Linked DNA regions of Caenorhabditis elegans. The protein of the gene in region 1 purifies or fractionates together with the protein of each later gene. This does not show direct contact. Each region holds a gene or a part of one and is shown in the gene's direction. Other genes may lie near its edges. The genes, in order: ran-2 and selt-1.1.

The links.
Region 2: the proteins of ran-2 (region 1) and selt-1.1 fractionate together in Caenorhabditis elegans (co-fractionation; one large-scale study listed by BioGRID). This does not show direct contact.

Annotation. Positions count from the first base shown.
Region 1 is NC_003281.10:7,925,437-7,943,638, forward strand, and holds ran-2 (Ran GTPase-activating protein 2), read left to right. Parts: upstream 1-8,098; 5' UTR 8,099-8,247; coding exon 8,248-8,343; intron 8,344-8,388; coding exon 8,389-8,467; intron 8,468-8,515; coding exon 8,516-8,794; intron 8,795-8,839; coding exon 8,840-9,060; intron 9,061-9,107; coding exon 9,108-9,469; intron 9,470-9,527; coding exon 9,528-9,688; intron 9,689-10,046; coding exon 10,047-10,747; intron 10,748-10,790; coding exon 10,791-11,544; intron 11,545-11,591; coding exon 11,592-11,695; intron 11,696-11,744; coding exon of another isoform or gene 11,745-11,753; coding exon 11,754-11,867; intron 11,868-11,914; coding exon 11,915-11,926; 3' UTR 11,927-12,272; downstream 12,273-18,202. Other genes in the region: C29E4.13 (C2H2-type domain-containing protein), read right to left, coding at 1,616-1,732, 1,781-1,832, 1,954-2,063, 2,113-2,193, 2,240-2,342, 2,421-2,511, 2,559-2,652, 2,729-3,025; npp-15 (Nuclear pore complex protein 15), read left to right, coding at 3,614-3,698, 3,743-3,855, 3,902-4,513, 4,574-4,892, 4,938-5,563, 5,611-5,915, 5,960-6,118, 6,170-7,026 and 1 more; C29E4.10 (Putative galactocerebrosidase), read left to right, coding at 12,421-12,549, 12,592-12,666, 12,774-13,112, 13,425-13,555, 13,625-13,780, 13,824-13,939, 13,984-14,111, 14,187-14,617 and 3 more; C29E4.12 (Protein FMC1 homolog), read left to right, coding at 15,718-15,935, 15,990-16,098; Condensin-2 complex subunit kle-2, read left to right, coding at 16,287-16,388, 16,463-17,212, 17,262-17,787, 18,121-18,202. UniProt on the Caenorhabditis elegans protein: GTPase system comprising ran-1, ran-2 and ran-3 is essential in nucleocytoplasmic trafficking. Ran-2 is a GTPase activator for the nuclear RAS-related regulatory protein Ran, converting it to the putatively inactive GDP-bound state.
Region 2 is NC_003284.9:11,532,941-11,548,229, reverse strand, and holds selt-1.1 (Thioredoxin reductase-like selenoprotein T homolog selt-1.1), read left to right. Parts: upstream 1-1,734; coding exon 1,735-1,801; intron 1,802-1,844; coding exon 1,845-1,944; intron 1,945-2,141; coding exon 2,142-2,249; intron 2,250-2,301; coding exon 2,302-2,425; intron 2,426-2,475; coding exon 2,476-2,820; 3' UTR 2,821-3,139; downstream 3,140-15,289. Other genes in the region: gcp-2.2 (N-acetylated-alpha-linked acidic dipeptidase 2), read right to left, coding at 6,813-7,071, 7,116-7,207, 7,251-7,395, 7,442-7,515, 7,607-7,725, 7,782-7,879, 7,920-8,033, 8,077-8,221 and 8 more; C35C5.9 (Group-specific protein), read right to left, coding at 11,223-11,251, 11,297-11,380, 11,426-11,435; C35C5.8 (Saposin B-type domain-containing protein), read right to left, coding at 11,863-11,965, 12,011-12,213, 12,868-12,969, 13,012-13,165, 13,223-13,362, 13,409-13,517, 13,743-13,791, 13,843-13,993; Sex determination and dosage compensation protein sdc-2, read right to left, coding at 15,106-15,289.

The DNA of each region.
Region 1 (18,202 bases):
AAAAGAAAACAGTAAAAATAAATCAATATAAAAAATTGGGGAAAACACTCAAAAAGTTGAGTTTGTCTTGACGTGGAAATGAACGGAAGGCAAACATGGACACGGCCCTTGTTTGACACTTTCTTTCGCAATTTCTTCGCCTGACTGTTCATTGTGCATTAGAACAAAGGTCGAAGAGTTCATTGATCCAGATCTTTGGCGTTTTTTATTCGCAAAAATATAGAGAAGATTACTGATACTATAGGGTCAAAACCACTTCTATTTCAAAAAATTTAGAATTTAAACAAATCTTCAAAAGCCAAAAAAAAAAAAAAAAAAGAAATACATTTCCTGTGTACCAACTGAAATCACAACACCCTATTCCACGTGTGTGAAAGTTTAACTATAGACCAGGAAAAACTACATCGACACAGACTGTAAAAGGAAGGAATTATATATTCGGTTGCTTGTCTCGTTGTTCCCATTGTTCCAACGAGGAGAGGGAATAAAAAGTGGCAAGAAAGAATGAGATTTGTTATTATTTTATTATTCGAATGTGAAATGTAGGTGGATAAAATAAAAGTGGTGAAATTCAAATATATCTGAATAATTCAGAAAACTAATTTCTAATACCAAGCTGGTCCACTAATCAATGATAAGCAAATAAAGTGAACTGTTAAGACAATACGGACCGCATGGGAAAGTAAGCAAAGCAGAGCTATACTCAGAGAGACGCAGACACATATACAGAACACAGTACATGTAGATGGACACGTCGATTTTCTTTTCCGTTTTGCGCCAAATATTCATCGGATGAGAACGGGTGTTTAGAGGGGAAGACAACGGAAAATATCACAGGGATTTCGGAGGGAGAAGCATTGAAGAATATTGCAAAGAGCTTATGTTTGTACAGGCGGACAGAGACTATTGCAGTTGCATCAGTAGATACAGTGGAAACATTTTGAAATTAAAATCCACGTGGGAAATCTAACAAAAATTAGAAAATATAACTTTTTTCCACTTCCACGATTTTCAAGGAGGTGCATTTATTTTAGAATGGTCTCGCCACGCATTGCGAACTAACCTAACAAATTAAGGCGCGCCTTTAAGATTACTGATTTTGTTAGCAATTCTTTATCGATTTTTCTCGATTTCCAAACATAAAAATTGGATTTTTTCCGATTTTCGATATTTTCGGCTAATATATACAACTAAATCAAAAGAATATAATAAGAAAGAAACCGGCATTTTGTTGGCGATTCTAATCTAAATGTTCGTGCGATTAGGGAAAAGATGTTTTATGAATTTATTGCGTGTAAGAAAGCGGGTAGACAAGGTCGAACAATTTATAGAGGTTCTTCCCTCCGCCACGTTTGGAATTAGTTATGAGTGGAGGTCACTTTAAACTGGAATTGGTTATTTTGAAAAAGAATTATGGAAATCTCGAAAAAGTTAATAAATTCTTTTTCAGATTTTTTTAAAGTTAATAATGAGAAGTAATTGAAAATTGAATAAAGATTAAAATATGAATAATGAAAATCGAAAATCATTATTTCAAGAATTTCAGTAAGTATAAAAATTCAAATTATGAACTTATTTATCAAAAAAAAAAGGACCCGCAAATACATTAAACAATTTAGACACCTCGTCGATTAATGGATAGATCTTGATGTGGAGTTGTGACAGACATCGGACGAAAGTTTATTGCAATATTTTGAAGTTCAGGGCGAGTCTGTGGAATTTGACAGGAATCCTGAAACAAAATTTTTAGAACACAAGTATGACGTTGTAAATACCTTACCAATGAAATATTTTGATATGTGGGCGTTTGCACTTGTCGTGAGTGTGAAGTTCTGAAGTTTCAAAATTAAAATAATAAAAATCAGCTTACTATCAGAATTAAAAGTTTGATGTTTATCAATAATTCCAGAATGTTTTATGCTAAACTTTTCGGCACTTTTTTTGTAAACTCACAATTTTCTGACTAACACGATTGGCCGTTTGAATTTCAAGTTGGCGAACTTCATAACTTCTACTTCTGCTTCTCTCTCCCATTCGTGAACTCGATCTTTAGTTACCTCTGGCTGCAAAATGTTTTTTAACCTTTTCAATTCTCAAAGATAAAATAAATACTCCATCTCTACATATCAGAAAAATTTGTTTGAATGCTTCTCGGGCGGCTGTCTCTTTTTTGGGATCGTATTCCTTGAATAGCTGAAAATATATAAATTTTTAAAAAAATGTTTATATTGCTCCATACCGTAACTTCATCTTTCGGATGTCTTGTACTCAAATGAAAACGACCTTCTTCTTCAGTGTAAAATCCATCTTTTTTACAATGAAAACAACGGTAGGGGCGATATCTTAATGTTTGAAGTTTTATGAATGCTCAAAAATTTTATTTACATATTTAGTTAAATAATTTGAATTGAAATTCTTACTTTAAATGTGTGCAGAGAACGTGATATTCGAATCCCCTCCAAGTTTTAATAATCGCGTTGCAGTGACAACAATAAGGCAATGCTTTGTGTTCTAAAATGCAAATTTTAAATAGTTGAATTGAAAAAAATTAAACTCACGACTCAAAATATCATCTTTTTCATCCAGATATCGATCGCTCAGGTGTGTTGGATGTGCTTGCATTGTTATTGGAACAACAAAATTCGAACCTGACTAAGAAATGCATTTTTCTTTCGTTTTTTTTAGTGGAGTTGGGGAAAATTTTCATCTCAAACTCAATTTTTCTCACCCTGTGTATAGTCTGCATTCCATTTTTCTTTGCAGATTCCGCGACGGCTACCGTCGTTTCTCGACTTGTCCGTAAACGGTTGTTCCGATGATTTTGTGAGTGGAGGTTATGCGTTTTTTCTGTAAAAAAAGCTTTGCAGAATATTCTTCCATTTTTCATTTTTTCTTTTTTTTTTGAGGGAGAATTCGTTTGAATTGTTTCCTGAAAATTTAATTCCAAGAATTCCAGATTACCGTCGTCAACAGGCTTCCAATTTGACATCGATGCTTGCGATGGATCAATTGTTTTGTTGATCATCTGAAATTGTCAGAAATTATGTTTTTATGAGACAGAAGGAGAGAGAAGGCTTAAAATAACAAAAAAAAACGTTTTATTGAAAAATAATTGAAAAAAAACACTCACTATTCCCTCATTTCCAGATTTTAGGTATCGAAAATCTAATCTATCCTCATTCATCTTTCGCTGGGTTAATATAAACAATAAATTGAGCTTTTAATTTTCTAGTTCATGAGACTGAAAATGGCGAGTGCACAGTTCTGATCGAATAGTGCGCCTGCTAAGAAACGCGCCAACACTGGGTGCTTGACACGCAAAATTGTGGGAATTTGAATTTTAACGAAAATATTTTTCAGTTTTGAACTATTTAATTGATTTAAACAAATATTTTGAACGTTTTTTTGGAAATTGGAAACAAAAACAAAAATATTTCATACCGTGTTTTTAAAGGCGCAGAGTTCCCACATTTTGAAGGGTCTCGCATCGAAATTGAATTCAAAATCTGTTTGTGGCGCGAAACTTTTGTTTCGGAACATGTGAACATTTTCATTTTGCAATTTCTTCTCTTTTCTAAATATCGCCCCCTTTTCTAATCACTGAAATTTCAGAATGTCGGGACGAGATCTCGAACTAACTCTCGATAGAGTATCCAGCATAGAATACCCGGCACTGGTGAAAGAGGCCTTTCTGAATAGTGAGTCGAAAAATGATCAAACAGAAATTTCTCAACTGATTTAGATTGGCACGCTTCAGCTCATCGATCCGAGGTGACTTCAAATTGTGCATCACTCAATGACAGGTACTGCTGGGTTCTGTCTCGAAATCAAATTTTCATTTGGGAGCGGGCGAAGGTGAGATTTAAAAAATAACAATTCTCGAATTAAATTGAACTTTCAGTCGAGCCATCGTGCTATAATCCCCACTCAGCTTCCGTTGCCGACCAGTGGCCTTCCTCGCTCAGTAAAGTGCGTTGTTGTATATGATGGAGTCCACCGTGGTGCAAACAAAACCCCGTGTCCAGGAATTCTCGTTGTCTCACCTGAAGGAGTTCTTCGACATTGGACTTCAATTGAATCTCAAACATACATTGAAGAAGTTTTGGATATCAATAACGAGGTTGCTCTGCGGGTGGAATTGACTGATGAGCCGATCGATGGAAAATCAGCTTCTTTCCTACTGACAACTACATCAGGAACTGTCTATTTTTTGAATGGAAAAGGGCAAGATTCGGCAAAAACGGGTGCATTGGAATGCAATAAAGTAGCTGGTCGAGAAGCACATGGATTCAGAAGACGTCTTTCTTCAATAATGTTCGGAGGAGAATCCAAGGAATCTACGTCACTAATTACGAACAGTTTCCAACATCAATCCAAAGATTTACTGGTTGTAACAGTGTCTCCAGATGTTCTGACAGTTTATAATATGTACACACCATGTGAACTTTGGTCACTGAAAACCAAGGAATTTTTCCAACCAAAGATTGCATCGTTTTTCGAAGCGGACTTGAAGGTTTGCATTTTGCAACTTAAAAATAATAAGTGAATTTCTCAAAATATGAGAATGCTTCAGAGAACTCCACTGAAAGTCCGAGCGAGGTTGATTGATGCAGCAGTCTTCCGAGATGGTCTGATGATTCTAATCGGTGGAACTCATGAAGAGTCTCAATCTGTTCACATGTTCATGGTCTGGATGAGTGCTAACTGGCAAACAGAGCAACCCACCGGAGTAGTTTGGTCAGCAAGAGTTCCAATGAATGAGCATCGCGCCCTTTTTTCGAAGATTGACGATTCGATCTACTCTAATCTGACGTTGTGTATTCCCAAGAATACTGCAGAGTCGAAAAAGGCTGATAGAACAGATGGAATCATTATCATCAATCCCTACTTTGGTACTACATAACAAAATTAATTTAATTTTTGATGATATTTTTCAGCGGTATCTCTATACCTTCCATTCGATTTGGCCAAACCGAAAAAACCGGAAAGTCTATACCGTCATGTTTCCATTCCACCCCGAGATCAACTTCTAGGATATGCAATTTGCTCACAATATGTCTATATTATGATGCTAGAATCCGGTGTCTCTACAATTCGTCTTCTACCACGTGGATTTGCAGACAGCTCGATCTATACACATGAGCAAGTCGTCGTACCATCTCTGTCAGTAGGCACTGATGATTGGCCAATTTTAAGCGAACTCTTGTCTGAAATGGTTGCATCTGGACTTCCGAAGACTCCACTTTATCAATCATTGCATCGGGCTTTCGAGCTTTTCGCAGAAAAACATATGGCAGAGTCGGAAGAGGAATTAAAGGCGATTATCAAAATGCCAGATCAGGAAATTGCTCGTATTGTTTCTCAATTTCTCTACGCAATAATTGATTATTCGGATGCTGCCAACAAAACTGACACTGAACTCCACGCGAAGCGAGTGTTGACATCCAGAATCATGCTTTTCCTGAAGCATATGGGAGTGTATGAAAGAATCATAAGCTCACCCCTGGGAATCAGCAGAGGAGGAATCTTATCGCTACGTGTCGGAGGAACAATGCTGGGAGAAGTAAAAATTTACACTTAGAAAAATAAACTTATTTTCTGAATTTTCAGGTCTCCGAACGTGTCGCTGCATCAACGGCCATATGGACGTGGAAAACTTCAAACGAAACAAATTCTGCAGTTTTCGACGCAATCATCGAGAAAGTTTTGAGAATTCCAGAAGTCCAGGATTTAGGTCTGAAAGATAAAGATGCTCTATTCGGTCGATGTGGACTAGTTCATCATATTCCTGTTGTTGCTGCTCAACAATTGGAAAAAAATGTGATCGGAAAGACGAAATCACACAGATTCGAAGTGTTTCACGCTGTATGTGAACTTCTTTCTGGTATCAAAGAAACTATTATCAGTTGGAGAAAGTATGTTTTGATTTGTTAACAGACTTTAACCATTTGTATGAAAGTTGCAGAACGAAAGTTGCTATTCCTAAGTTCCCTATTTGGTGGACTCTCGAAACTTTTGCATCTTGTTATCGTGATGTTGCTGAAAAGATCATTGAGGAATTGAAAAATGGATCATCTACTGATAGTGAGAGAGCAAGACTTTTGATGTATATTTTGAGGTAAGAAAGGAAATTTTCTGCTTCGAATATTTCCAAATTAATAAATTTTAGCATCTACGATTTCTACCTGTCTGAAAGTGACTCTCAACCAGACAACGACAAAGTTTTGCAAGAAATGATCGCTCTTGGAAAGCCAGCAGACGCTATGGAACTGGCAGAGAAACACAAGGACTTTGGAACGTTAGTCAAAAATTATCTAACGACTGATGTTGGCACTCGGCAGAAGACTTTTGAAAGATACAAGAAGATGTTCGAAAAAGACGATTTCGAGATGTATCTATGTGATTATCTGAAAGAGCATGGACGAAATGATGTACTTTTGCAACAAGGTGGAAGTCGAGTGGATGCTTATTTGGATAACTTCAAAGAATTAAGATATTCAAGAGAAATTGCAAATAAACAGTTCGGAAAGGCGGCCCTCACTTTGATGAGTCTTGCTGATGCAGAAACTAAGAGCTTCTCAAAATTTGTCGAGTTTCTAACAAGAGCATATTATTGTGCATGTTCCAGTATCGATGGAACAGATGTTTCAGAGGTTCTCGACTTCTACAAACGACGATATCCGGAGATGAAGCATCGTAAACGTATTCCGACCGAAATATTGAAAATATGCTTCGGCAACGATTTGGATGCGATGATGTCTGTGGAAGATATGCTCGAATGGAATATGGCTGTCCAGCCGAATGATGAAGCTTCGGTTGAAGGGTTCGCAAGAGCATTCCATTTGTTAGCTGATCTTCTTGCTGTGCATCCGGATTCGGATGAATTGAAAAAGAAAATTGATAAGACGTGGAAAGCATTAGTGGATTATGACGAGTGGAACCGGGTTAGAAGCAAAGAAGATGTGGAGAAAAAGACAATTTTCGGAAAATTCTGCAACTATTTGATCAATTCGTATCCTGCTGACAGTAAGTATCAACAGAAAAAAAAACATGAACAAAAATTCATTTTACAGAAGGTGATTCTTTCCCAATTTGGATGCCAATATCTCGTCGTCTGATCTTCCCAACCGATATCGACACAGTTCTCGATGAATGTATCGCGAATACGACTGGAAATCATCTTTCATGGATCAAAGGTCATCTGAAATGGATTGGAGAGCAACTTTGTAAACAGGCTCTTCTACCAAAATCGGCATTCTTCCGTCCGGATATGAAACAAGTTGGATCGATTTCTCAAGCAGCTCTCGAAGCATTCGGTCCGATTTTACAACGAAGAGAACAACGATTTATTGATCAGTTGAATCGTGATTCGATGATGGAGACTTGATTATTTTATATTCTTCATTTTTTGTTTTGTTTTTTATTTTACCATTTTTCCCGATTTGTATATGATCTCCACGGTTGTTATTATTATTATTTTTCAAGTTTTTTTACCTAACTTATTGATTTTTATACATATCTTTAACGTGATGTTTCCCGTATAAAATCAGAGCTCTTTTTTATCTTAAAGTTTTACTAAAACCGAACATCGTAACTTATTCGATGAAAATTTTACTTATTGTTCTCAAATATATTTTCTCAACGAGTAAGTCGGTCTCGAGCAATCAGGTGTTTCATTTTGTTGTTTTTAAGGTCTCTGTGCCAACTGTTTTTGTGATTGTTTACTCAAAAACTACTAAACTTTAGAAGTAAATTTGTTTCAATTTTGGCAAATCCCCGATATCGAGCCCGATTCCTTTTTTAAACTGAAATTGTTTAGATTTCGCAATCACATAGAAATTATTGAAAAATTCGAAATTTCACGAAAAAATGTAATATGCTCACATTTTCCAAAACTTTATTTCCATGTAATTCAAAGTAACTTTTATTTTTCGGGAAAATTCGAAAGAAATTAATTCTGCGAAATTATTTTGTTTTCGAAAATTATCAGAATCTCAACAAACATGTTCAAAAGATTTTTCTGATTTTCCGAATTTAATTTAGTTTTTAGCAGTGAAATTCAATTAAAAAAACTGGTTATTTTCGTAAAAGTTTTCATAATTGTCATTTTCTTATCATCTTCATTATTATTTCTCTATCTTTTACAACCACTGTGTTCTCTCTTCACTTTCATATTCTTATCTAGTTTCTCGCATCTACTTTTTCCCAATTGTCTCTAAGAAAACAGACAAATTCAATTTAATATTTATGCTACCCCGCCTATTTCTCACTATTTTACCAGTTTGCTCACCCAGTATTTCTAATAAAACTTCAAAAAAATTTCGGGATGCTCATGCCAATCATGTTTGTATCCGCATTATGGAATCTCAAAATGTAAATAATCTTCAGGTATTTTTATTCGAGATGGACCTCAACAATACACTCTCCTTTTTTGGAAAGCAACTAAAACTGGATACCGAGGAAGAAAGTAATAAACGTTTTTTTAAAAACAGTAAACTAAATATACTATTTTCAGTTTCGAAAGTAATTGATCAAATCCGAAAACATCTCAACTTGGAGGTTCTTGACTTTCGTGGTAACACGCTCAGTGTTTTGGCTGGAAAATTAATCGCAGAATCACTGAAAACGCGGAGGGAGTTAAAGGAATGCATATGGAGTGATATGTTCACGGGTCGACTGAAAGATGAAATTCCTCTTGTTCTTGATGCTCTTGGAGAGGCATTGACGGCTTCTGGATGTCGTCTTACTACTCTTGATCTATCGGATAATGCTTTTGGAGCTGGATTGTCAACATGTTTATTCAATAAAGTTTAGATTTAATCTCAACTTTTAATTGCAGCTCTCTACAATTTCCTGCAATCACCAGCCTTGTACTCACTAGAAAACCTTATTCTCAATAATAACGGTCTAGGTTTGGCGGGAAAAACAGTCGGAAAAGCTCTTTGCTCACTCATTGATGCATCGAAAAAAGCTGGAACACCACTGAAATTGAAGAAATTTGTTTGTGGAAGAAATCGCCTGGAAGTTGAATCCACGATTGCCCTCTCTGACGCATTTATTGTAAGATAAATAACTTAAACTCATAATAACTCAAAATTATTTTTTAGAAATTGGGGACACTTGAAGAGATTCGCCTTCCTCAAAATGGAATCCGAGATGACGGAATTATTGCACTTGCTGAAGCTTTTCGGATGAATAAGAAATTAAGAATTATTGACATCAATGATAATTTCTGTTGTCCAGAAGGAGCAATTCAAATTTCTGAAGTTCTTTCGGATCTTCAATTTATCGAAGTTTTGGATCTTGGTGATTGTGTCTGCGATGATCCGGGAGTTCTTGCCATCATAGCAGAACTCGACAAAATAAATCGAGATTGTCTGAAGAAAGTCGTTCTCAGTGGAAACAATATCACTTCTGATGTTATTGATGAGATTGGAGCTTGCTTTAATTCTCCTAAAATGTGCCACGTGTAAGCTTTGCATTTAGTAGGAAATTCAAATGTTCTTGAAACATTAAATAATTTTCAGAAAAGTTGACATTTCTGTGAACATGTTTGGTAAAGATTTCGACAGTGCCAAGGCAAGACACGGAAAAGGAAATATTGACTTTGGTAGAAGAGGTGATGATGAATTGTTATCGTCTGATGAAGAAGAAGAACAAGGTGCAGAAGATGCAAGTATGGAAGAAGGTAATTTTATTTTTCATATTGTTGAAACAATTTTTTCTAAAAAAATAGCGGCAAAAGAGAACTTAAAATAAAAAAAACCTTTTTGAAGTTTACTGAAAGCATTTTTACTAGCTTAGATACCTGTAAAACTCGAGTGTTCATTTTTACAATTTTTTAAAAAATTTTTGAGGTACCTACCTTTTTGAGGTGAGTTCTGTAAGTATTTTGGAAAATCGATTTTTGTTTGAAAAATCTAAATTTTTTCACCAAACTTGATTAAGAATTTTTCGAAATTTCCCGAAAAATTACAATTGTGCCAAATAACAGCCCAGCCCAGCGACTTTTAATGGAAAAATGATTATTAAAAAAATATTTTCAGATGCTTTCAACACATCACGTGAAACCGTGATAGATCGTTCGAATTTACACGAAGCTTCTGCTGATGAAATGATGAATGATCTGATGAACAAAGGTTTCGGATGTATGAAGATTGAAGACAATCAGCAAAACAGCAATGGCAATGGAATGGTTTCTTTCTTGGACAAATCATTAAAGCTTGATACTGCAGAAAGTGCTGAGCCTGTGGTTAAAGTGATTGCAGCTGCAAGTTCTATGAAAGCATTGGAATTAAGAGGAAACACCCTTGGAATTGCGGCAGGAAATGTGATTGCAAAAGCTTTAGAGAGTCATCCAGAGCTCGAGAGATGTCTTTGGAGTGATTTGTTCACTGGACGCCTCAAAAACGAAATTCCACCGATTCTAGAAGCTCTTGGAAAGGCTATGATGACTGCTGGATGTAAGATCAAAGAGCTTGACTTGTCTGACAACGCCTTTGGACCAATTGGAGCTGATGCTCTCAAGGATCTTTTGGAATCACCGTCATCATTCTCTTTGGAAGTCTTGAAGCTTAACAACAATGGATTAGGAATAGGAGGAAAACAAATCGCAAAATCATTGACTGAGTGTCTCAGAAAGTCAATTGCTGTGGGAGGCGAGAATCGATTGAGATTGAAAACATTTATTGCTGGAAGAAATCGTTTGGAAAATCCAGGAGCACATGCACTGGCGGCTACTTTTAAGGTATTTATAGTTAAACACTTTAATTTCTAAAACTTATTTTTAGGCTCTTGAAACGGTTGAATGGTTTGATGTTCGTCAAAATGGAATTCATGAAGAAGGAATTCGTGCTCTGGTGGCTGCATTGAAACACAACAGAAATCTTCGATATCTCTGGCTTGAAGACAATACAGTACTCCCCAAGGGTGCAAAGGCTCTTGCAAAAACTCTGGAATCTTGGCCGAAGTTAGAAGTTTTGAATTTGTCAGACTGTTTGATTCGTGACGCTGGATGCAATTACATTATTGATCACTTGAATCCTCAACATCATCGCCATCTTAAAAATGTTTACCTTTGCGGAAACGAGCTCACACCACCCGTCGCTAAGCTCCTGATTCAAAAATGGTCAAAGTTTGATGGTCTTACACCGAAACCAGTGCTTCATATTCATACCAATTCGTTTGGTGATGAATTCTCTGATGTTGCTGGAATGGCACCGGAAAATGTGAATGTTGGAGATGAAGATGATGATTTGGGAAGTTTGGATGGAGATCAAGAGGAGTACAATAGTAAATCGTCAGATTCGGAAGATGCAGATTTGGATGATGACGATGAAGATGATGATGAGGAAGCGGAGATTCAGATTATCGACAATGGAGAATCACAGTTAAAACTTGCAATGGATCGAATTGATCGTCTGGATATCGACTTTGAAAGCAGATTCCAGGAAGACACTGCACGTGTTATTCTTCAACTTTCAGCACCTCTCAAAAGTTGTAAAATGAGTGAGCCAGCTTTGCAAAGAGCTATTGAAGTTGCAGGTAAGAAATATAAAAATATTTTAATATAACTACTTTCAATTTTTAAGAAAATATCGTCCGCCGAGTGGAGTCTGTCAAGCGTAACCCGATTCCGGCCACAACTCAATTAGTTAACAATATTGTTGCTCAATGTGCAGGAACAGGAGTTAAGGTAGGTATTTTTCAAGCTTATTCTAAAAAACGTTTAATATATGAGACAGACTTTACAGGCTGAAACTGATTGGGGATATGGTGCCGATCCACAAGTGATTTCACGTTTGTTCTCGGAACTTGTTGCTCGCGGCCATTTCAAGTTGGAGCTGGCTCTCCTTCAACGCTTTTTCGTAAGTCTCACAACTATATTTTATGGTTATTTTTTTCAATTTTTCAGCCTTCACAATAATCGAGCTTCTCTACACGATATCCCAGTCTTCGCGATTTTTTTACATGATTTCAGATAAGCCGTGGTTATTTTATATTTGGATCTACAATACATGTATTATTCATCGTATCGTGAACAATATATTTCTTCAACTTCCAATGTATACACGAGTTATCAATTTGTTTTAATTTTGTTTCTCTAATTTCCACTAATTTTTAGTTTAATACTTTAAATCTCTTTCTTGTACGTGTAAATGCTTCAATCCGTTTTTCAAGTAAATTTTTGTGAACGAAGTTGTTTTTATGATTACATGTTTTATGTCTTTGTGAACTTTTTTAATTTTGAGATGAATAAAGCATTTTCTACAGTTCCTGTATCGAAACCTCAAATTCAAAAATAATTTTGAGGGGAAATAACATTTAGTAATACGAAAACAGATATCAAATTTCAAATGAGTAAGTTTATATTAATTCATCATTTTTTGTTTATCAACATCATTCCTTCAATCATCCCCAATGTTTTCAATATTTATAAAAATTATCTTGATTTTACCAAGTATTGCAACTAAAACAAATAATATAGACATAAAATCATGGAGATCTGCTCAAACTTTTGATGGATTTGGTGCAGTCAGTGGTGGAGGGGTAGGATTCAGTCCAATTTCAGAGAAATTACGAAAATTTCAGGCGACTTCTAAACTTTTGTTCACATATTTCTCGGAGAAAAGTGATAGAAAACAAGTTTTAGAGAGCCTTTTCAATGTGAGTTATAGTTTATTTTGCGTCTGTAAATTAGATAAATATAATACAGGAGCTTAAATAAAATTTAAAATTAACCTTTACTCTTCCCATTCTTGAATAATTTCCAGAAAGATAATGGTCTACAACTGCTGAAAGTTGAAATGGGTGGTGACGACCAAAGTACTGAAGGCACCGAATCATCACACGAATCCGAAAAAGGAAAGATTTCAAAAAATAATTATGAATTTCAATTAATAAGTGAAGTTCGTGAAATTAATCCGACAATTCCAATTTGTGTACTTCCATGGGCATTTCCTGGATGGATTGGTAATACGCCATATGATAATGTGACAGAAACTGCAGAATATGTTGTGAATTGGTTGAAAATCGGAAGAGACACCTGGAATTTTGATACATTTTGTGTTGGAGTTTGGAATGAGAGAAATTTCTCAGAGAGCTATGTTAAGGTAGATATAACGAAAACTTTTTCAAATTTTGGTTCGCTAAATCCTACGGGGCACCGTCCATCTGTTTGGAATTTAATGAAATATTCACAAAGTTATACCTTAGAGTTATACCGTAATTCCTACAATTACTCAAATCACATATCAAAACTCTCAAATTAATTCACAAAGCCAGATACATCACGATTACAGTAGGGGTGGCAAAAGAAAGTTCTACACTACAGTATCCTAAGAGTAGCACAAGACATATAAGTTTTTGAAAAACACATCTTACTAACACTGCAATCTAGTGTGATATCAAGTTTTGATATTTAGGAACTTCGAAAAATTCTCAATCTCAATGGTTTCAATGAGACTCTGATTGTGGCTGGTGAAGGATTTCGAATGGATGACAGTTATTCAAGACTTCTTGACAAACGATTTATCAATGAATATGACATTATAGGGTATGAAGAAAACCTTGTTATTTCTTTTTCAGCGTTTCAGAGCACACAAAGTAAATATTTTTGATTCAGAGTTCATTACCCAGGCGGTCGAATTCCTGAAAATGTTCAAAAAAGTGGTAAAGTCATTTGGGCAAGCGAAGATTATAGTACAGACAACAGGGACACCGGGGAAGGATGTATGGCGAGAACTATGAATTGGAATTTTATAAATGGAAATATTACTGGGCAAGTTTTGATTGTGAACACACAAAATATAGTGGAAATTCAGAATGATTTCTTGGCATTTAATGTCTGCGTTTTATCCTCAACTCCCTTGGTATAGATGTGGTCTCGCACGGATTGATGAGAATAAGTTTCAAACTGAAAAAGCTTTTCATGTTCTAAGTATGATAATAATGTGCAAAAAAATTGAATCACGACTATTTCAGAATACATTACTTCTCATGTTAAGCGAGGATGGAAGATTTTAAGAGAAAGTAGTGGTAGATTTGATGGTGGAGGAACATATGTCACTTATACAAATGGAAAAGATTCCACCATTTTTGTAGAAACCATGGTAAGACTTTAATATTAATTATGAGAAATTGCTTCAAATGATTTGAGAATAAACATTTAATTCAAAAAATTTCAGAGTTACAAGAAATCTTTATGCGAATATTCATCTCCACGGCCATACCATGTCAAGCCAAGTCAACTTATTCGATTTAAATTCTCTGAAATTCCATCATTTCAAGGATTAAATATGTCATTAAACTTTGGACCTTCAAAGTTCTTTTCAAAATCTGTCAATTCTACAATTACCATTCTTCTTCCTGTTAATTCATTTGGAATACTCACTACACTTCCAGTTTCAACTCCGAAAAGAGTTACTATAAAAACACCATTGGTTCCTTTGAATTATCACGACGACTTTGAAAATTATGAATTCGACGAGGAGCCAAAGTTTTGGATGCCACAAAAAGGATCATGGGTGGTACGAAATGGACGGGCGGTACAGAAAGTGACACGCCCATCAATTAGTTGGTGCACCTCACACATTCGAACTCCATATGCAGTTATGGCGTAAGAATTGATGACTTTGACCTATGAGGAACTACAGTATACCGTATTCCCTCTAATATTTTTACACCTCTTTTCTCAACTTTGGCAGCTCATATCTCAGTAGTAGTTTGTTCTATAGAAAAGTTGTCAACTGATAAAAATTTAGATAGATGTTTTTTCTGTAGTTTGTAGTTTGTTAATTATTTATATGTCCAAAAAGGAGATATGAGGTGTCAAAGTTGAGCAAAGGGGTGCAAAACTAATAGAGGAAATACGGTATACGGTATTCCTTCCATTTAGGTATCGAAAGAAGAATAGTATTCTAAACGCCGAGGTCAATATTCCAAAACACTCAACAGCTAAATCCATCATTCTAGGTATAAGGAGTAATTGTAGTGGTATGTAATTAGTGTTGTGATTCATATTAAAATCTATTACATTTTCAGGATGTGACATAGAAGTAATAAACTGTCGTGGAATATTTGTTGAGATTGAATTTTCAAATAAAAAAGTAACTATATTTTCCGATTTCGTTGACCGTTCAATAATTGCTGAATTCAAAGCACGAAGAAAAGTAGAATTTGGAAAGTTTTATAAATTCTCAATTCATTTACTGGACTCGCATCTCTTCATAAAATTCGGAAATCATCATGTGATGACTTCAGTGGAAATTCCAGAAGAACAATTAAATAAGGTTATTAAAATAATCAATTGAATTTCAAATATAATGTTTTCAGACAAATAATGACACTTTATTCGTGATTGGCACTGGAAATTTTGGCATCTCCGAATGGGATAATATTTCAACAGATTATTTTCACTGAGGCTGATTAATTACATTCAAAAAGTATTTAATATTGCTTGGGCATGTTTCTATTAAAATAAATGTACCATTTTATAATTTACCACATTATTGGAAAATGTCAAAATCAATTGCCACAAAAAACTAGATTCAAACTTCCGCGCAAATGGTACCGCAACGATGCTCCGCGTTTCGCTAAACAACGCGCGCCTCACGCGCGCAGTTTGAATTGAGAACGTTTTCCTGTTTTCTTTTTTTGTCTGAATTGTGTTATTGTGCTATTTATTATCCCTTTTTTGTACATTTTCAAAATTAAAGTATGGCCTCTGCTGTTGGAAAAGGAGTGACCGCTTTCAACACCATCAAAAACATCATTTCGGAACTGAAAAAGGTCGACAAAACATTCTCCCCGAATTCGGCACAATATAAATACCTCATGGAGCAAATGAAAGCCGACCAGGTTACAACAAGAAGATATTCAAAAGCCGAGAACGAGTCAGAGAGCGTTGCAAAACTCTATTTGAGCTATATTAAAGGGTTCGTTTGTTTTATGAGAATAAGAAAGTAATAATCAATATCCATTCATTTTAGAACCCGACAGCTTAATGAACTTCAAGAGAGATATAAGGGTGGCGAGAAGAGTGTTGAAGAGGCTGCTGCTATTGTTGGATTGAAACTTCCAGAACAAAAGAAACTTTAAAATACTTAAAATTGTTATTTCTTTCTCGAATAGATTAGATTCCTGTTTTCTTTTCAATCAAAATAAAATACTTCGTTTTTAAAATACTATTCAGGTTTTTTATAACTTCCTTATGGTTTTCGTACCATTCTATATCTTTTTTATAGTTAATCATCGCCAGAGCATTGGAATTGTTGTTTCAGGTACAAATGACTAGGAATGCTCCTCCAGGTCAAGAATCGACAGATTTAGCATGGCTCGTCACACCCGCAAAAGATCTTGTCGAGAACTTCTCAATCGACGTGTTGAAAGTAAGGATAATTTTTTTTCACGGTTGTATCTTTTCTTTTTCGGTAAATAAAATAAATAATTGCTCGACTTTCAGGCACTCGCCGGATACCTCGAGGTTATCAGACAAGAAAGTGAAGACACAGATAATCAGGTGGATGCAGCGACAACTTACAGATTGTTCGATTTTCAACGAGCATGCCGGATTATTCAAGGATCGTGTGCCGTATATGGTCGAAAAGTAGATCATGTCTATGAACTGACGATTTCAGTTGTGGATTTAGTCGAGAACAAAGGTCAAGATGATGGAAACACCGGCAGTAGACGAGGAGCTGGAAGACGGAAAAATTTTAATTTGGGATCGACGAATTACGACTTGGCTGATATCGACTCACTGAAACAGGAAGCTCTAGCAAATTTTGAGAAGACAGTAAAAGAAGAGAAAAAATCGATTGATGCAGTGAGAATGGTCGAGAATGCTGAAGTTATAGAGTCTCAATATGAGCGAAAAAGCTGTTTAGTAGCAAAGCCAACCCAGTTCATGTTCAAGCTCAATTACGGCCAGCTCAATCGTACTGATGAACAAATTTTGAATGCAAAATCTCGTCCTGATGTTATCGGAAAAGTAAAAGATTTTGAAATTAAAAAGTCGAAAGTTAAACACGATCAACAAATACTCTACTCCCATGATTGTTATCGTGGAAATTTAGACCAATTCACACTACCTGGTGCTCGTTGGATGCCAGATAATAAGGAATTGGCAGCTAATTTTGGTGTTGCTGATTTGGAAGTTGAGTTAGATTTGGAGCAAGAGCATGAGAAGATCAGTGCATATGGACCGTTTAAGGTAAGTGGTAATAATTCGATGAAACATTTTCAAAACTTGATTTCTTCAGGATCCTCTCTCTGGCCGTGAAGTTGTTCCACCTCCTCGTTGGTTCATAGAGCAAGAAGCAGTTCGTCAAAATCAAGAAATTCAATCTCGTGCCACATCGAGAGCCATCACAATTGCAGCTAAAACTCTTCGAGATTCTCAAGGCTTTGGATCTCAACCAACTCGTCTCTCACAACCATTTGTTGAACGACATCGACAGAGTAATCATTTGAATGATTTCTTGTCATTTGTGGAGGGAAGAGTTAATAAGAATCGCCCGAGCACTCATCTTACCACTGGCTTAGTTGATATGTTCGTTGATAACTTTGGATCTGTTATGCAAAACGATGAACCAAACACTAGTAGAAGACCTGATGAGAATTACGCGCCCATGGACTTTGATGATGATTTTGGTGGTGGAGGAGACGATGACGACGATGATTATATTCGAAATTTGTCCAGAAGGGATGAGAAGCGAGCACCGGCACCATGGGACGAGCTGGATAAAAATCATATTATTTGGTACACGGGAGACGAGAATCTGCCAGGTATTTGTTGAATTAATGGGATTCTTTCGGTATTTTTTAGATTATATATATATATGAGCCGTGGACCGCACCTCCGGCGCGGCCCCCGACTTCTGGAGCTGAAAACCAATTTTTCTGAAACTACCGTAATCATACAGTACTCCTACCGTAATCATACAGTACTCCTACCGTACCACCATTGTACCACTACAGTACCCCGACTATATCCCTACACTAACCCCAACTCACTATCCCTCCAGAAGCTAAAACTTCGCAGACTACAAAGACTACATAGACTACAAGCTATGGACAAACGGAATAAGCGCTTTATATATAGTAAATGATATATTTCAGTCGTTAGCAAGCCGGTAAAAAAGATCACGAAATTCCAACCAAAACCCGCTGAAATGTTGGCTAGGAAGCAACGACGTGAGGA
Region 2 (15,289 bases), on another chromosome or scaffold:
GATGTTGTTGCGTGACGTGGCATGAAGCCATTAGAACAATACAAACGCAGAATAGAAAATAATGGGGAAAGAATCCTAAAATGGGTAGCGAACAAAGTGATGAAAGAGAAACATGACAAAGCGTGGAACAAAAACCGAAAATTTGGAGAATTGAAAGAAAAATGTGAAGAACGAATCGTTTTGAATGCAAATGAGCATTTGAAAAACGAAAACCTCGGAGAAAGGGAGACCTCACACATCTGCGGATGAGTCATTGTGGAGCCAGAGGAAACGCGTCGTGGGCACTGACCCCAGAAATTGCAAAGTGTACGGACGGTTAATTTAGAACATCTGAGGATGTTAGTGTCTAAAGGCCATCCACACACATACACATACACACGTAGTGACTCCCCCTCCTTCTTCAAGTCATTGATATCTGTCGTAAAAGCCCATAAAACTAATGCATTTGAGGTGAGATGGGTTAGGTTGGGGGAAAAGATGGATGAGAAGGGCAAGTTCCTTTTTTTTTTGTTTTCCTTCAGGAGTGAGAAGTGGAAGAATCCGGATGCGATTCAATTAGTTTGTCACCACTCCACCTCGGCAAATGTGAGATGCGTATTGTTGGTGGTGTAACTTTTTGAGATTGAGATGCTAGCACGAAAAGAAGATAGATGCTTTTCAAAAATAATGAGAATCCACGATGAATTGCAAAAGCAAGATGTTTGTCATTAGATTTGAGAAATGGTCAATTACATTTTTCTAAGACACTGGGGGTGAAAAACATTTATTAAGATATACATATTTTTTTTTGAAAGGAAGTTTAAACTTGCAAACACTGCTTGTGTATTACATGCACTCATTTTTAAAGTAATTTTTAAGTTGTAAAAATAAAAAAGTGTGGAAATTTTTTTATATTTTAAAGCTTACAATTAGAAAATAAGCATTTCTGAGCCAAACGAGGAAAATTCCACATCACGTTCAATTTAAACGGAGAAATCAATGAGCATTTTCATTAATTTTAAAATGAAAGTATGTAATACACAAGTACCAAAATAAGAAATTAACTCATTGTAAAAAAGTCTCAATAAGATATTGCAATTGCACGACAACAAAGTTCACTTTCTCGGAAACCGATTTCTTGTGTTTGACTGTTTGACCTTCACGGAAACCAAGAATCCATTAAGAATCTCAAAAAGAAACTAATTCTATAACGTAGCGTATTGATCACATCAAAACAACTCCTCCCATATCATATCCAATGAACAATAAAAAACGAGTTAAAATGAGAAACAAGGAAAGAGAAGACTGTGCACATAAAATTAAAGGTTATGCGAGTGTGCGAATATGAGGTGACTCAACGTCCTCCAAACACACACGCATACACACACCGAGAACCGTTCAAAGAGAACGAGAGAGTGTGTGAGGCGCGGAGGCATCAGACACTGGCGAGTGATGGGGCGCGTTTGCTACGGGCGAGTCAAGTATTGATCGCTGAGACTCCGCAGTGGTCTTGGTGCTGCGCGCTCGTTTGGAATACCCTGTGTTGTCCGCTTGTGTGTCGAGAGGGTGTTTCTGTCATATCATACTCTCCTGCGCGTCCGCTTTCTTTGCTTTTTCTAGTGTAAAACACTTCATCAAATGTGTTCTTCTCTGACATTTTTATCTAATTTTTTTTGTTGCAAAAAAGATGATGAAAAATTTCATTTCCTTCTCTATAGTGTTTTGATGTTTTTTTTGCCATTATTGATTTTTCAGATGTCACGGTTTGGGGTATTTATCATAGGAGTTCTCTTCTTTATGTCAGTTTGTGATGTGCTGAGAAGTAAGTTGTGACACATCATAAATGAAATAAACAACCCAAGTAGCTGTTTCAGCGGAAGAGCATTCACACGATGAGAACCACGTACATGAAAAGGACGATTTTGAAGCAGAATTTGGAGACGAAACAGATTCACAAAGCTTCAGGTATTATTTTTTTAAAGGTCGAATTGTGAAATTAAAATCAATTTTATTTTCAAAAAAGTGAAAATCTAACGCATGACCGTTTTCAATTTTTCAAGCTTTCTAAGGTGCTCAATAAAATTTCTAAGTTCATGATAATTAGTTTCCAACAGGTTAACTGAAATTTTTCAAACAAGTGCTACAAAACTTAATTTTTTCAGTCAAGGAACCGAAGAAGATCATATTGAAGTCCGGGAGCAATCCTCATTTGTTAAGCCTACAGCCGTCCACCACGCCAAGGATCTTCCAACATTGAGAATTTTCTACTGGTAATATTTATACATATATAGGTTCTACTAGAAATTATGCATAATTTTTCAGTGTTTCATGTGGTTATAAGCAAGCTTTCGACCAGTTCACCACTTTTGCCAAAGAAAAGTATCCAAATATGCCAATTGAAGGAGCCAACTTTGCACCGGTTCTTTGGAAAGCTTATGTTGCTCAGGTACTGTTCAATTTGAAGTGACTTGGATTATTTATAAAATGTATTTTTAGGCTCTCAGTTTCGTCAAAATGGCAGTTCTCGTGCTGGTGCTAGGTGGAATAAATCCATTTGAGAGATTTGGTCTTGGATACCCACAGATTCTGCAGCACGCACACGGAAACAAGATGTCGTCCTGTATGCTGGTGTTCATGCTCGGCAACCTTGTTGAACAAAGTCTCATTTCTACTGGAGCATTCGAAGTTTACCTTGGCAATGAACAAATCTGGAGTAAAATCGAGTCAGGTCGTGTACCATCCCCTCAGGAATTCATGCAACTTATCGATGCTCAACTTGCGGTGCTCGGAAAAGCTCCTGTCAACACAGAATCATTTGGAGAGTTCCAACAGACTGTCTAAAACGCTATGTTTTCAATTTGACACCGTGTTACCATAATTATTTACAATGTATTCTTGCTGCTCAAACTGATTCATTCCCTCACTCGTCATCCGACGCCTTATTTTATTAAGTTAAATTAACTTTTTATTTGTTTCTCAACGTGTGTAAATTATTTGCAGTCATAAAAATTCTCGCCACTTTTATTTCACCTCTAATGATTTTCTATTCAAATAATGTTACGTTTTGTTTTTTTTTAAATAATTATTTACCATTAAGGAATCAAATTTTTGAAACCAGTTTTTTCATTTGAAATTTTTCAGAAATAATATTTTTTACTAGAGTATTAGTTTTGTTTATTTAAAAACAAATCACAAAGTAAAAAATTCGTTTAAGGAATGTTTCGCGCAAATGAATGCAACATTTACAAAAGCAATCTCCTTGGATAATTGCTTAGAATATTTTAAGAGTTCTTCGTCGTCTACTGAAGTTTCCATTTTTGATATCAAGCTGTGTACTTGAGAGATTGCGTTTCCACGATACCAGTTGTCCGCACTCGGGCGGAAGAGCACATGACGACTCTGCGGATCTCCAAGGATACCATGCGGGTTTATGAAACATTTTTCAAATCTGAAAAATCTAATATGTGAAAATTGAAGTTTTCATAAGCATGCATACCTTTGCTGTCTTTTCTAACAGTTCAAACTGTTTCTGGGGCTCAGTCAAGTACTCAGAAATGTTTTCAAAAGTCTGAGCCTTATTAATGTGTTGTTGTATTCTCGGGAAATACTCATCAAGAACTCTGTCCATTAACTCTTTTAAGCTGAAATTATTTCTACTTGGTAGAAAACGCAAATTGCAGTGCTTACTCATAAGGAAGAATTCTGCTTTCCGAAAAGTTTAAAATGCACTCAATTAACATCTCGCCCATAGCTTTATGCATCTGAAAAATGATAATTGTCGAGGTTTACTCTGGGATTTTATTGCCTTGTACTCTGGATCAAGAATATTGTCTATCAAATAGGGTGTTTCGTAAATTGTATGATATGAGGGGATAAACAGGCGGGCTGTCCAATGATGATGTGACAAAGAAAACCATCGGAATACCTGCATGAACTAGTTTTTCTGTAAATTTCGGTTTTTTGAAAATCTAACCCAAATAATTAAAGAAAGACAAATGATCACTGCCACCTGCTGGAAGCTGGTAAAATGGATGTGAGGAATTATTGTTTTGTGAGGGAGAAATGTTTTCCTGAATTCAATTATAATTGTTTGTTCTTCATACTTTTTACTACCAAGAATCATATAGTGTCTCTCTTCCGTTTTCTATTTCTAACGGATTTGGATGTGAAATTTTTGCTGCAGCTGCACGAAGAACATTAACAACTGTAGGATTAGCCATAGCAAGTCTGATAAAGCAAAGTTTCAGATTATACTTTTTTAACTTCACTACTTACAATGACTGGTTTCCTCCAATCATATCCGTATTTATATATGCAACAGCTCTTCTCATTAACTGAGTACGATGCTCCTCTGCAAACTCTGTGGACCCAATCAGACCATATTCCTCAGCATCCCAATGAGCGAACAGAATTGATCTCGTTAAAAAACCCATTTTCAGGACAAGAGTGAAAGTAACTGTTATAATATTAAACACGTGGGTGTACATATTGAAATGTTTTCTAATAACGGAAGTGATTCGAAATCCTATTATACATAACTTGTTTAGTGTTTGAAAATACCTGGTCTCCATCCTGTAAGATTTTGATATGCTTTTAATGCTCTGGTTACTTCCAAGAGGGTCGATGTGACACTGTTTGGATCTACTGCTCCGTACGTCCAAGCATCATAATGATTTCCCACTAGCACAAACTTATCCGGCTCTTGGCTTCCCTTTATATATCCAAGAACGTTTTGAATTTTTCTAAGGATTAAAATAAAATCCGAAAACTGCCCAGTTAATAAAAAACAAACCGTTCCTCATTTTTAGCGTGCACAGTTACTCTAAGTTTCTGATTATTTATCAGTCCCGGACCATATCGGTATGTGACGTCAAGTTTTCCTAAAAAAGTAACTTGTAATTTCGGTGGAAATGTAGATTTCAAACAACCTTGAAAATCTGCAATGACGGCGTCTCCTTTCATTTTTTCGAATAAAATTTGCGCTGCGCTATATGGAATTGGAAGTAGTGAATAGTTGGGATCTTTTTTCCATCCAACAACTGGAAAAATACTACGTTTTTATAATTTAAATATCTGTAAAACCTCTTGCTCTGATTTTTCTTTGAAGAGATTTTTTATAGAAGGGAATGCCGGCAATCTGGGGTCTCCTGATTGAACATAGCATGTGCCTCTTTGAACGGCATGTGATGGCATCTTATCTGTTCTTCCATATGTACTATCTATTACAAAAAACGGATTGAAGTTTGCTTGTATTATTTTGAAAAACTCACTTGGTCCGGTTCCAAGACTTGCTACTTGCATAGGGTCTGAGTAGAGAAGACATGCTTTTGCTCCTTTTTTGACGGCCATTTGAGCTATGTTACCACGGAAGTTAGAACTGTATCTAGCGAGAACAATTTTGTCCTAAAAAGTTTTCTGCTGTATTAATACTTTTTATACTAGGAATAAACCTTCAGATCTATCCCCAACGATTCTATATGCTCGATATCCTTTGGAGTACCTTTGTTGACATAAACAATATCTCCTTCAACTGTTCCATCAGCCGAATATGCAAGCCATTGTATTTCAGAAACCAAATCATTCTGTTCTTCTTCAATAATAGATATGCTCCGTCCCGTAGTTTTATAAAATACATCTCCATTTTCTTCGAGTATTTCAACAATGTTGGGAGTCGTCCAATCAGGGTATGATAGCAACACATTATACTCGTTAAAATGAACATTTTCGAGACCTTGAGAGATCATTTGATCTCGAATAATTTCAGCCACTCGCAAGTTGTTTTCTGTTCCGGCCACATGAGCTTTTTTAGTGAGCGAATGAAGATTGGAGCGAATTTTGTCAGTGTTAATAAGCTGTCTGATATTATTTGCGATTGAAACTGAAATACTATACAATTAACTCTTCAAAAACTTTTCAAAGTGGTCTCATAAATCATTTGCAGTCAGATAGAACCATAGGAAACTTTTTTCTCTCTTCAATTTACCTGTATTTTGTATTGTAGGTGTCCCACTCGACATTGAAAGCTGATGTACATAATTTGAAATGAGTACAGTTACAACAACTGTCGCTGCTAGAAGTAATACAACGCCGAATATTTGTAATCCTTTTTTCATGTTCGATTTTTGAAAAACGTTATATCATAGAAAAGTGATTCGTTTACCAGGTTATATTTATATGCTTTGATAAAATGCAAATATTACTGGCAAAGTCGACGAGTTTAAAAAATAGTTTCATTATTTATTCGTAAGAATACATTATTTTAGGGATTTAATTCAGAAGTTCCTGATAAAAACTAGTTTTCGGCGTTAGATGTGTTCGACATGCTCTCGTTCCTGATTAAAAAAATAATCTGTCCATGATTTTTGAACAGGCATCAAACTTCCGTTGGAATGTGTTGGTTGAAATTTGAACGAATGTACATTCGAACGGGTCAAATGAAAAACTAATTCGAAATTTTCTGTGAGTTTTTTTAATGTCAAGTTTTCTCAACGTTACTGTATTCAAAATACATTTATTGGTTAAATAGTAAACATCGCCAGTGGGGATTTTGTCTGAATATCGCAATAAAACACTCCAAAATTCAAGAGTTTTTAAAAAATTTCTGTAACTGTAAGCTTTCAAGCAAATCCAGACTTATGTCGCACTGGCAAAAACTGAGTAGGTATCATTTTTTTGCAGTAAATAAAAACATTCCAAAATTTTGTTGTAATGTTTTGCAATTATTTTTGGTCATTTTCACCATTTAAACACTTTCCCCACTTGCACTACTCCACCTTACACTTTAAAAAGTTGACATTTAAATAATTATTACTCTGAGAGTCTATCAAACGTGATCACATTGTGAAAAATTCGCCGAGGGAATGTTTGGCACATATGTAAGCAACATTAACTAGAGCAATTTCTTTTGCTAGTTGTCTCGACAATTTTCCCAACTCCTTGCTGTCTGTCGAATTGCTAATTTTTGATATCAAATCGTGAACTTGTGAAATTGCATCTCCATCATACCAATTATCAGGGCTTGGATGAAACAATACATGTCGAGCTTGAGGATTTCCAATTGCCCCATGTGGGTTTATAAAACATTTTTCAAATCTGAAAGTTTTGAAAATCGAAAATTATTTTCCAATTTGCATTACTCGATAAGCCGATTATTTATGTCCACTCTACTGCCGAATGGTAGCTCTTCAAGTTTCGAGACATTTCTTCTTTGTACGATCTCAGAAAGTTCCTGAAATAATATTTGTTTGGTTTGGGAAGCATTTCAAACAAACCAAAACTGTTTTTTGTAACAGTTTGAACTGTTTCTGTGCATCCAGCAAATAATCAGTCTTAGTTCCAATCATTAACGTTTTATTTAGACGATCTTCTAGTTTTGGCAAATATTCAAAGATCGAGTCATCCATAAGTTCATTCAGACTGAAATTTTCAACATGTTCAGTGCTGCAAAACACATTTTTCTTACTCATAAGGAAGGATTTTACTCTCGGTAAACTTCAAAATGCATTCTATAAACATCCCGGCAATGGCTTTATGAACCTGTAATTTTTTGTTTAAAATCAAAAATTTGTTTATCAACAACGGCAATGATATATTTAGCCTACAATGAATGTCTCAAACTGCATTGTACCTTGTAGCCAGGATCCATAATATTTTCAATCAGATATGGTGTTTCATAAATTGTATGATACAGTGGATAAGTTGGAGGTGCATCTAGGGATGAAGTGATGAAAAAGACAATTGGGATTCCTGTAAGTTAAACAATAGTAAATGATTTCGATGTGTCGTTTTATGAACTAACGTACCAAGATAATCAAAAAATGGAAGATGATCACTTCCACCAGCGGGGATTCTTTGATAAGGATGGGTTGATCGATTGTTCTTTGATGGCGCATAGTATTTCCTTAAAACTATTAGTTATGCAATTCAAAATTTTTTATTACCAGGAATCGTATAGTGTTTTTCTCCCTTGTTCCATTTCTGTCGGATTTGGCTGCTCAACATTTGCCGCTGCAGACCGGAGAACATTGGCGACGGTAGGATTCGATAACCCAAGTCTGCAAAATCTTAATTTCCACTCAGTCAATACTCGGAGCTAACAAAGTCTGGTTGCCACCAATAAGATCCATATTAATAACTGCAACTGCTCTTCTCATTAATTGAAGACGGTATTCTTCCGCAAACTCAGTGGATCCTATCAGACCATATTCCTCGGCATCCCAATGAGCGAACAGAATTGATCGCGCTAAAAATTTATTATATATTGTTTCTACTTCTCTGAATAAAAAGAAAAAGTAAGCTATTTCAATGTCTCAACAAGTTTTTATACATCATTCATATTTTATCCTCACCCTGTTTCATGTACATTATATCTCTTAAAAAACCATGTCTGTTCACATCGCCTGAGTTTCTAGTTCATATTTTTTCTCAAATAAAGCAAGTGAAATGATGCGATGAAACATTTTTAAAATACCTGGTATCCAGCCGGTTTGATTTTGATATTGTTTCAACGCTCTGGAAACTTCTAAAAGCGTAGATGTTCCACTGTTTGGATCAACAGCCCCATAAGTCCAAGCATCATAATGATTGCTCACTAGAACAAACTTGTCCGGTTCCTGACTTCCTTTGATATATCCCATTATATTTTGAATTTTTCTAAAATTCAAACGCAATCTACTTATCAATTCTACAACTATAACTGACCGTTCTTCGTTTTCAGCATGAACGGTAACACGAAGTTTCTGATTGTTTATCAAGCCAGGTCCATAACGATATGTAACATTTAACTTTCCTAAATGTAAACGCTGGTATTGTACAAATATACAGTTTCACTTTGAAACCTTGAAAATCTGCATTCACTGCATCGCCTTTCATATTCTCAAATAATATTTGTGCTGTGGCATATGTAATTGGGAGCATGGGAATGGTAGGTATTTTCTTTTCATCTAACAACTGTAATTTTTATTTCAGTTTTTCCCAAGTGTTGAACAAATAAAACTACATCTTGTTCAGTTTTCTCTTTGAAAAGATCTCCGATTGATGGGAACGCAGGTGTTCGTGGATCACCTAGGCCAATGTAGACTGATCCCATCTGGACTGTATTTGACGGCATTTTGTCTGTGTTTCCATAAGTTTCATCTAAAAATAAAAATAGGATAAATTTAAATAATATTTTTACAGCTCACTTGGCCCTGTTCCCAAACTGGCTACCTGTTTTGGATCCGAATAAACAAGACATGCTTTTGCACCTTTCTTTACAGCCATTTGGGCAATATTCCCTCGGTAATTAGAACTATACCTTGCCAGAAATATTTTATCCTAAAAACATAAACTTACCAATTTTCAAATTACATTTGTATGTACCTTGAGATCAATTCCTAACGACTCTAAATATTCAATATCGCTTGGATTAGCGTTGTTCACATATACTATATCTCCTTCGACTGTGCCTGCTGCTGAATACGCGAGCCACTGAATTTCAGCCAGTGGATCATTTTGTTCTTCTTTAATAACTGAAACACTCCGTCCAGTTGTACTAAAAACCAAATCTCTATTTTCTTTCAGTATTTCAATAATGTTGGGAGTTGTCCAATTCGGATATGATAACATTACATTGTACTCATTGAAATGCACATTTTCGAGTCCTTGAGTGATCATCTGATCTCGAATCATTTCAGCCACTCGTAAATTATTTTCTGTTCCGGCCACATGAGGTTTTTTAGTAAGCGAATGAAGATTGGAGCGAATGTTGTCAACGTTGATTAGTTGTTTGATATTTGTTGCAATTGATACTAGAATATAGTTTTCGAAATAAGAATGAAAATTGATTTGTTTTAATGTGTCAACAACTACTCAGAGTTGTATCTAGCGTTTTAAAAAACATACAATAGAATGAATTATTAATACAATCAATTAATTAATTATATATAATATTATACAATTTGTAAGAGCTATTTCTCTGTTTCTCCTTTACTAATTGTTCAATATATAATTTTTGATCAAATTTTAATTAGCTTATAAAACAAAAAATCTAATAGAGAAAAAGGTAGAAATCCGAGTGTTATCACTATTTCACTAAATCAAGCTTATTTTTTACTTACATTTAGGAAGAGGCTTTGAATTTGATTTGTAAGATTGATGTATCGCATTAGATAAAATAATAGTCAAAGCAACAGTAGAAACTGCAACAAGAACCACACCGCTAGCTTTCATTCCTCTATTTCTTTTAGACTTTTGGAATACTTTCTGTAAAAATGTATGCTTTAAATGACATTCCTTCATATTTATTTTGTGATATTCAATGTTTGAATTGCCTGTTCTGGTTTACAATGAACGATTTTGACTTACGTCTCCATTATTGTTATAATACTTCATACAACTACAACCTTGTGTAAACCGGTTCCGAGCTGTTATCATTTTCTACACTTAAATTAGGATCAAATTTTACAAAAATGAATTTAATAGAAATATATTCAGAGTAGTCAAGGAAGAAAATTTTTTGGGAAAATGTGGGTTGTCGTTTCAACGCCCATAAAAGTATAAACGACGATGGAAAATTGTGTGTGACTGATTGGTTTTTTTCAAATATAAAAACTCATATATGATATGTCCTAATAAAATCTGAGCACGAAAGATACATTAAACAAAGATCGAATACAACTTTGTTTTTATTGATTAATAATCAAGACTTTAACAACTCAAAACTGCTTAAACTCGGGGATAATGGATCATTTGAAAATCAGGCTCAATTATTCGACTGAATGTTTGAAATGAAATAAAAAAAGTATTTTATAGAATACTGAAAAATAATCAAACTGGAAGGTTCAGAGTGTTATTATTTGGTGAGATCATGGATTCCCATTGAATTTAGTTTTGATATTTCAAAACATCATTCATGGCTGAACCTTCTCTGCTGCAACGAAAGCGGTTGCAGTTACTAACAGTAACACTCTTTAATCGAAAAATTACTATTTCATATCAAAGTCCAAGATGAAGTATAGAACCATTTCTTATGATGCAAAAAAAACCCCCTTCAAGTTTAGTTTGTTGAAAAAACTTTCTATTTACCGTAAATAAAAAAACCTGATTTAAGCGTAAAATGTCAGATTATAAGTTAGGTTTTACAAAAAAAAAATCTTATGTTGTTTATTGAAGATTATAAACGTTTACAAATGTGTCAAACTGTAATGAAAGGAGTCAAAACATTATGCATAACGAACAAAAACGGACAATCATAGAAATGAAAATTATCTCTTGAAAATTCTTCGGACGCGGTCTGAAAAAATAGGGTAAATTGTAAAAAACTTCAAAAATCACTTACTCCAAGCTCGTCTGTACCATGGAGGGCGAATGGTGTGCTTGATGTCAGTTGCAACGCGCTTCACATCTCGTTTAACGTCATGTTCTAAGATATGTTTTTTAATCTAAAATGTTAAAAAAAAACGCTCACCAATCGACATGTTCAGTTAAAATTTGAAAATAACACGATTCTTCTGCCAACGGTAAATAGAAATCAACCAAGAAATGACTGAAAGTGAGACAAAGAATGTGGGTGTTGCCCGAAGTCGTCTCCTGTTATGTCACAATGCGTACCTACCTTTTTTTCAAAATTGCTGTCACATGCGCAATTTGATACGCAGGGAATCAATAGATGTGGTAGGGAATTGGTGAAAAACGGAAGTTCATCATCGATGTCATGGTATTTATTTACTTTTATTTTTTCACAAACAGTTTTGATGTATGTACAGACACTACAAGTCATTTGATCATGGATGAGGGAACAGAAGAAGAGGCAAATTCAATAGGTTGAAACCAAATATTATTCCATTACAATCGTCAACGTTTGAGTTCAAAATGAGAACAGAGTTATAAAATGTTGCATTTGAACTATTCAATGTGCTCATGAAGTTTCAAGCATTTCTTGCTTGTTTCTACATTGAATCCTTTAAACTGAGAAGCCAACGGTTCTCGTCGCTGCGTTGATAAGTAGCTGAAAATGTTTTTTGAACGGATATTTTATTTCTGAGGTTAATACCCGACAAGAATACTTGATTCCATTATTGTCACTGCTTCTCGACCACATTTTTCTTCAACACGTGGCAATACACATTTCAAAACTTTGTCCAACGCATCACATTTTTCTCCTTCTATCTCAGCAATTGTTCGGAGCGCTTTCCCAAAAACCGATTGAACATGCTCTTTCATTGTAAGAAACTGATCATCGTCGTTCTCCAAATCCTACAAACTGTTTGATAAGTCTACGAAGAGAAGTCGAATTAGTTTTTTGATGTAACCACGTCGATGAACAAAAGTTATTTTTTAAGATAGATTTTTAAAGTTTTTCGAGAGCTCATAACTCTTAAACTACAAAGTTTAGAAAAAACAATTCAACTAACAAATGGTTGCCTGAAATTAGGCTTGTGTGATGACAATTCGTAAAAAAGCTCAGCACAATCATTACTGCAGATACAGCAGTTAACATCTCACGAGTCCATGTTTGATGGTTTCTACTGAATCGCCGTGCGCAAGAACAAAACGTTTCCATGAAAAAAGTTTTAAAGAAAAAATAATTTTAATGTGATTTTTGTTCATAATTTACACTTTGCTAGTGAAATCGAGATAATCTTTTTTTGCACAATTCTCAAAAAAAAGTTTCACTTGAGTTTTAATTCCGTTGTTTTAGCTTTGTTCACGTAATTCCCAGCAATTTTAGAACAAATAGATTAAAATGAAACAATAGAAAATGTTATATGAAGTATTTTTTATTAATTTTTTCTGACTAAGGTTTGTATAATAGTTTTAAAGTTATGCCTTCAAAAAACTTTTACAATTACAAAAAAAAACATTTTGGTTATGTGGTTTTTATGAAGTTAATTTGAAAAAGATTTTTACCTTGTTTGCAGTCAACTCAGCAACTTCTTTTGTAGCTCTGATATGTGTTCTTGCAATTCGTCTGCCAGCTGAGTACCGTGTATAGTTGTATGCTAGCATCTCCTGAAAATTCTCATTTTTACTTTCTGGAAAACATTTAATTACCTCAAAGCAAGGTTTCGTATATTCTTCCACACCAGCTGAGAAGCAATGGTAAACAGTATTATCAATTTCCGGTTCTGGGCATTGACGATCAAGTAAGATACGCAGGTTTCCATCTGTGTTTTTCAAATCATCCAGTCGCCAGTAAATTGCGGTTCTGAAATTACGAAATATGAGGAATAACATAATAGTGTTCGTAGAACCAAATACTAACCTGGATTCACCAAATCCATATTGACACTGAAGCTGCATTTCATACTTCTCACAAAGCTGTCTCAATCCTTCTTTGAACTCTCCCGCTTCCATTGAGACAAATCGTGCAGCAAATGAGTTGAATCCTAAGGTCAGCAAAAGCTGGAATTTTTTAATTTCTTCAGTGTGCTGTCTAGTAGTGGCTTACCTTCATATCCTTTGTAAGTTTAATGTTGTATACATTTTGAAATACTCTCTCCGCTCTTTCATGACCAAGAGTGTTACACTCCATGAAATAGTCTTCATAAACATTGATGCTGTAAAATCGTTCATTTCATTTTTGGTTCAAATGGTTCTGGTGATCTTGATAAGCAATTCGCGCAGAGGCTTCACAGAACTATCATGTGGTAATCACATTGTTGGACTAAAAGTGATAGATTTGGATGAAAAAATACTTCACTAATTTGAACTTTTGGATTTTGAGAACAAAGATAATAGTGAAATTATTAAAGTGGAAATAGACATCGTGAAAACTAACTTACCGCTCACGAGCTGTAGCGTTTTCCGTAGCATACAAAAAATCTTTGTAAGCTGAAACCATCAATGTTTAATTTTTACAAAATTTTTGAAAACTATTCTCACCTTTTGCTCCAAACTTTCGTGCTTCTCCAAGAAGCTCTTTGGGAAGACGATCATAAACTATGCTTTGTGTTATTTTAGAGTCACAAATAATAAATAAAAGAAAACAAGATAATAAAAATCGTAGAGCAATGACATTATTTTGAGTAGTCATTCACAGAGAAGCCAAAACAAGAGATAGGAGAAAATATAAATTGACAAGTCAACAAAGCAAGTCAATATATAATAATAGTATCAGTTTAGCTTTTGCAGCAGTACGAGTTATTTTTGAATGTTTGCCGGCTGATTAAAAAATGGTCTTGTCCATACACTTTTATAATTTTGACACTCCAACGTTGTGGGCAGTCAGTCAGCAGCAGTCGGTAAGAGATACTGTCCAAATCATTTATCACGTCTTTCGAAGACGCGCAAAGCGTTAAAACCACTGATACAAATCTGATTGAAAATAGTAGAAGAAACGTTGAAAGTAGTCATTGGCCGATCAACGACAACGCGTCATGATTGTTTGATACTTGCACGAACGGTGACGTCAACTACATTCTGATTTAGTTTCGTAAAACACAAGTTCAGTTATTATTGGTAACCTTTAATATTTCATCGATAAGAGTTGATTTCTTTGGTACTTGATCAGAGAACGTTCAAGATTATTGAGATCACTAGCGCAATTGTACTGCCAACATGTGATTACCAAGCATAAAATGTAGTCTTCAGAAGTTGCAGAATACTTGTTCTCAACATTAAATAACTGTTTGAACTGGCAAAACTAACTTGAAAACAAAAAAAATACATTTTTCGGGTTTTTAACGAAGAAAAGGCTTGTTGATGATGTGAAAACAAAAAACTTGATTTAACTAATAATTAACTAATAAAAACATTAACTAATAATATTTTGAGGTACATATTATATATCAAACAATTGTTCCCTCGAATTTCTTCGAAAAATAATTTTTAACATTTATTAAATTGAAAGATTTTGTAAATTACAAATAACAAGAAAAAATGCATGGAGAGTGTTTGAAAACAACGAACAACAAATAAATAGATACATGAATTACAAGTAAAATTTACAATTTAATAAAACCGAGCTTGAGCAAAAAAAATTAATATGAAAGAAATTTTTTGATATAATTATCAAAGTAGTATCGAAATTACTAAACTGGGAATATGAGAGTATGGTGTACTCAAAATTTAGAAAGAAGTGTAAAATAATGCCAGTGATTTGAGATTGCGAGTAAATACACGTATAGAACACAATTCGTTGTAAGATTATCTCATTCTTCTTCTTTTCGAAGATGGGCTCATAGATCGTGGCAAAGCTCTTTTCAAAGTCATTTCAACAATGTCTAATGGATCTTCAATGGATTCTTCTGCGTCAGTATCTGATGCAACATCGATATACTCTAACACTGCTTGGCAGTCTTTATCTTGGTTAGGATTTGTGAATGCATAG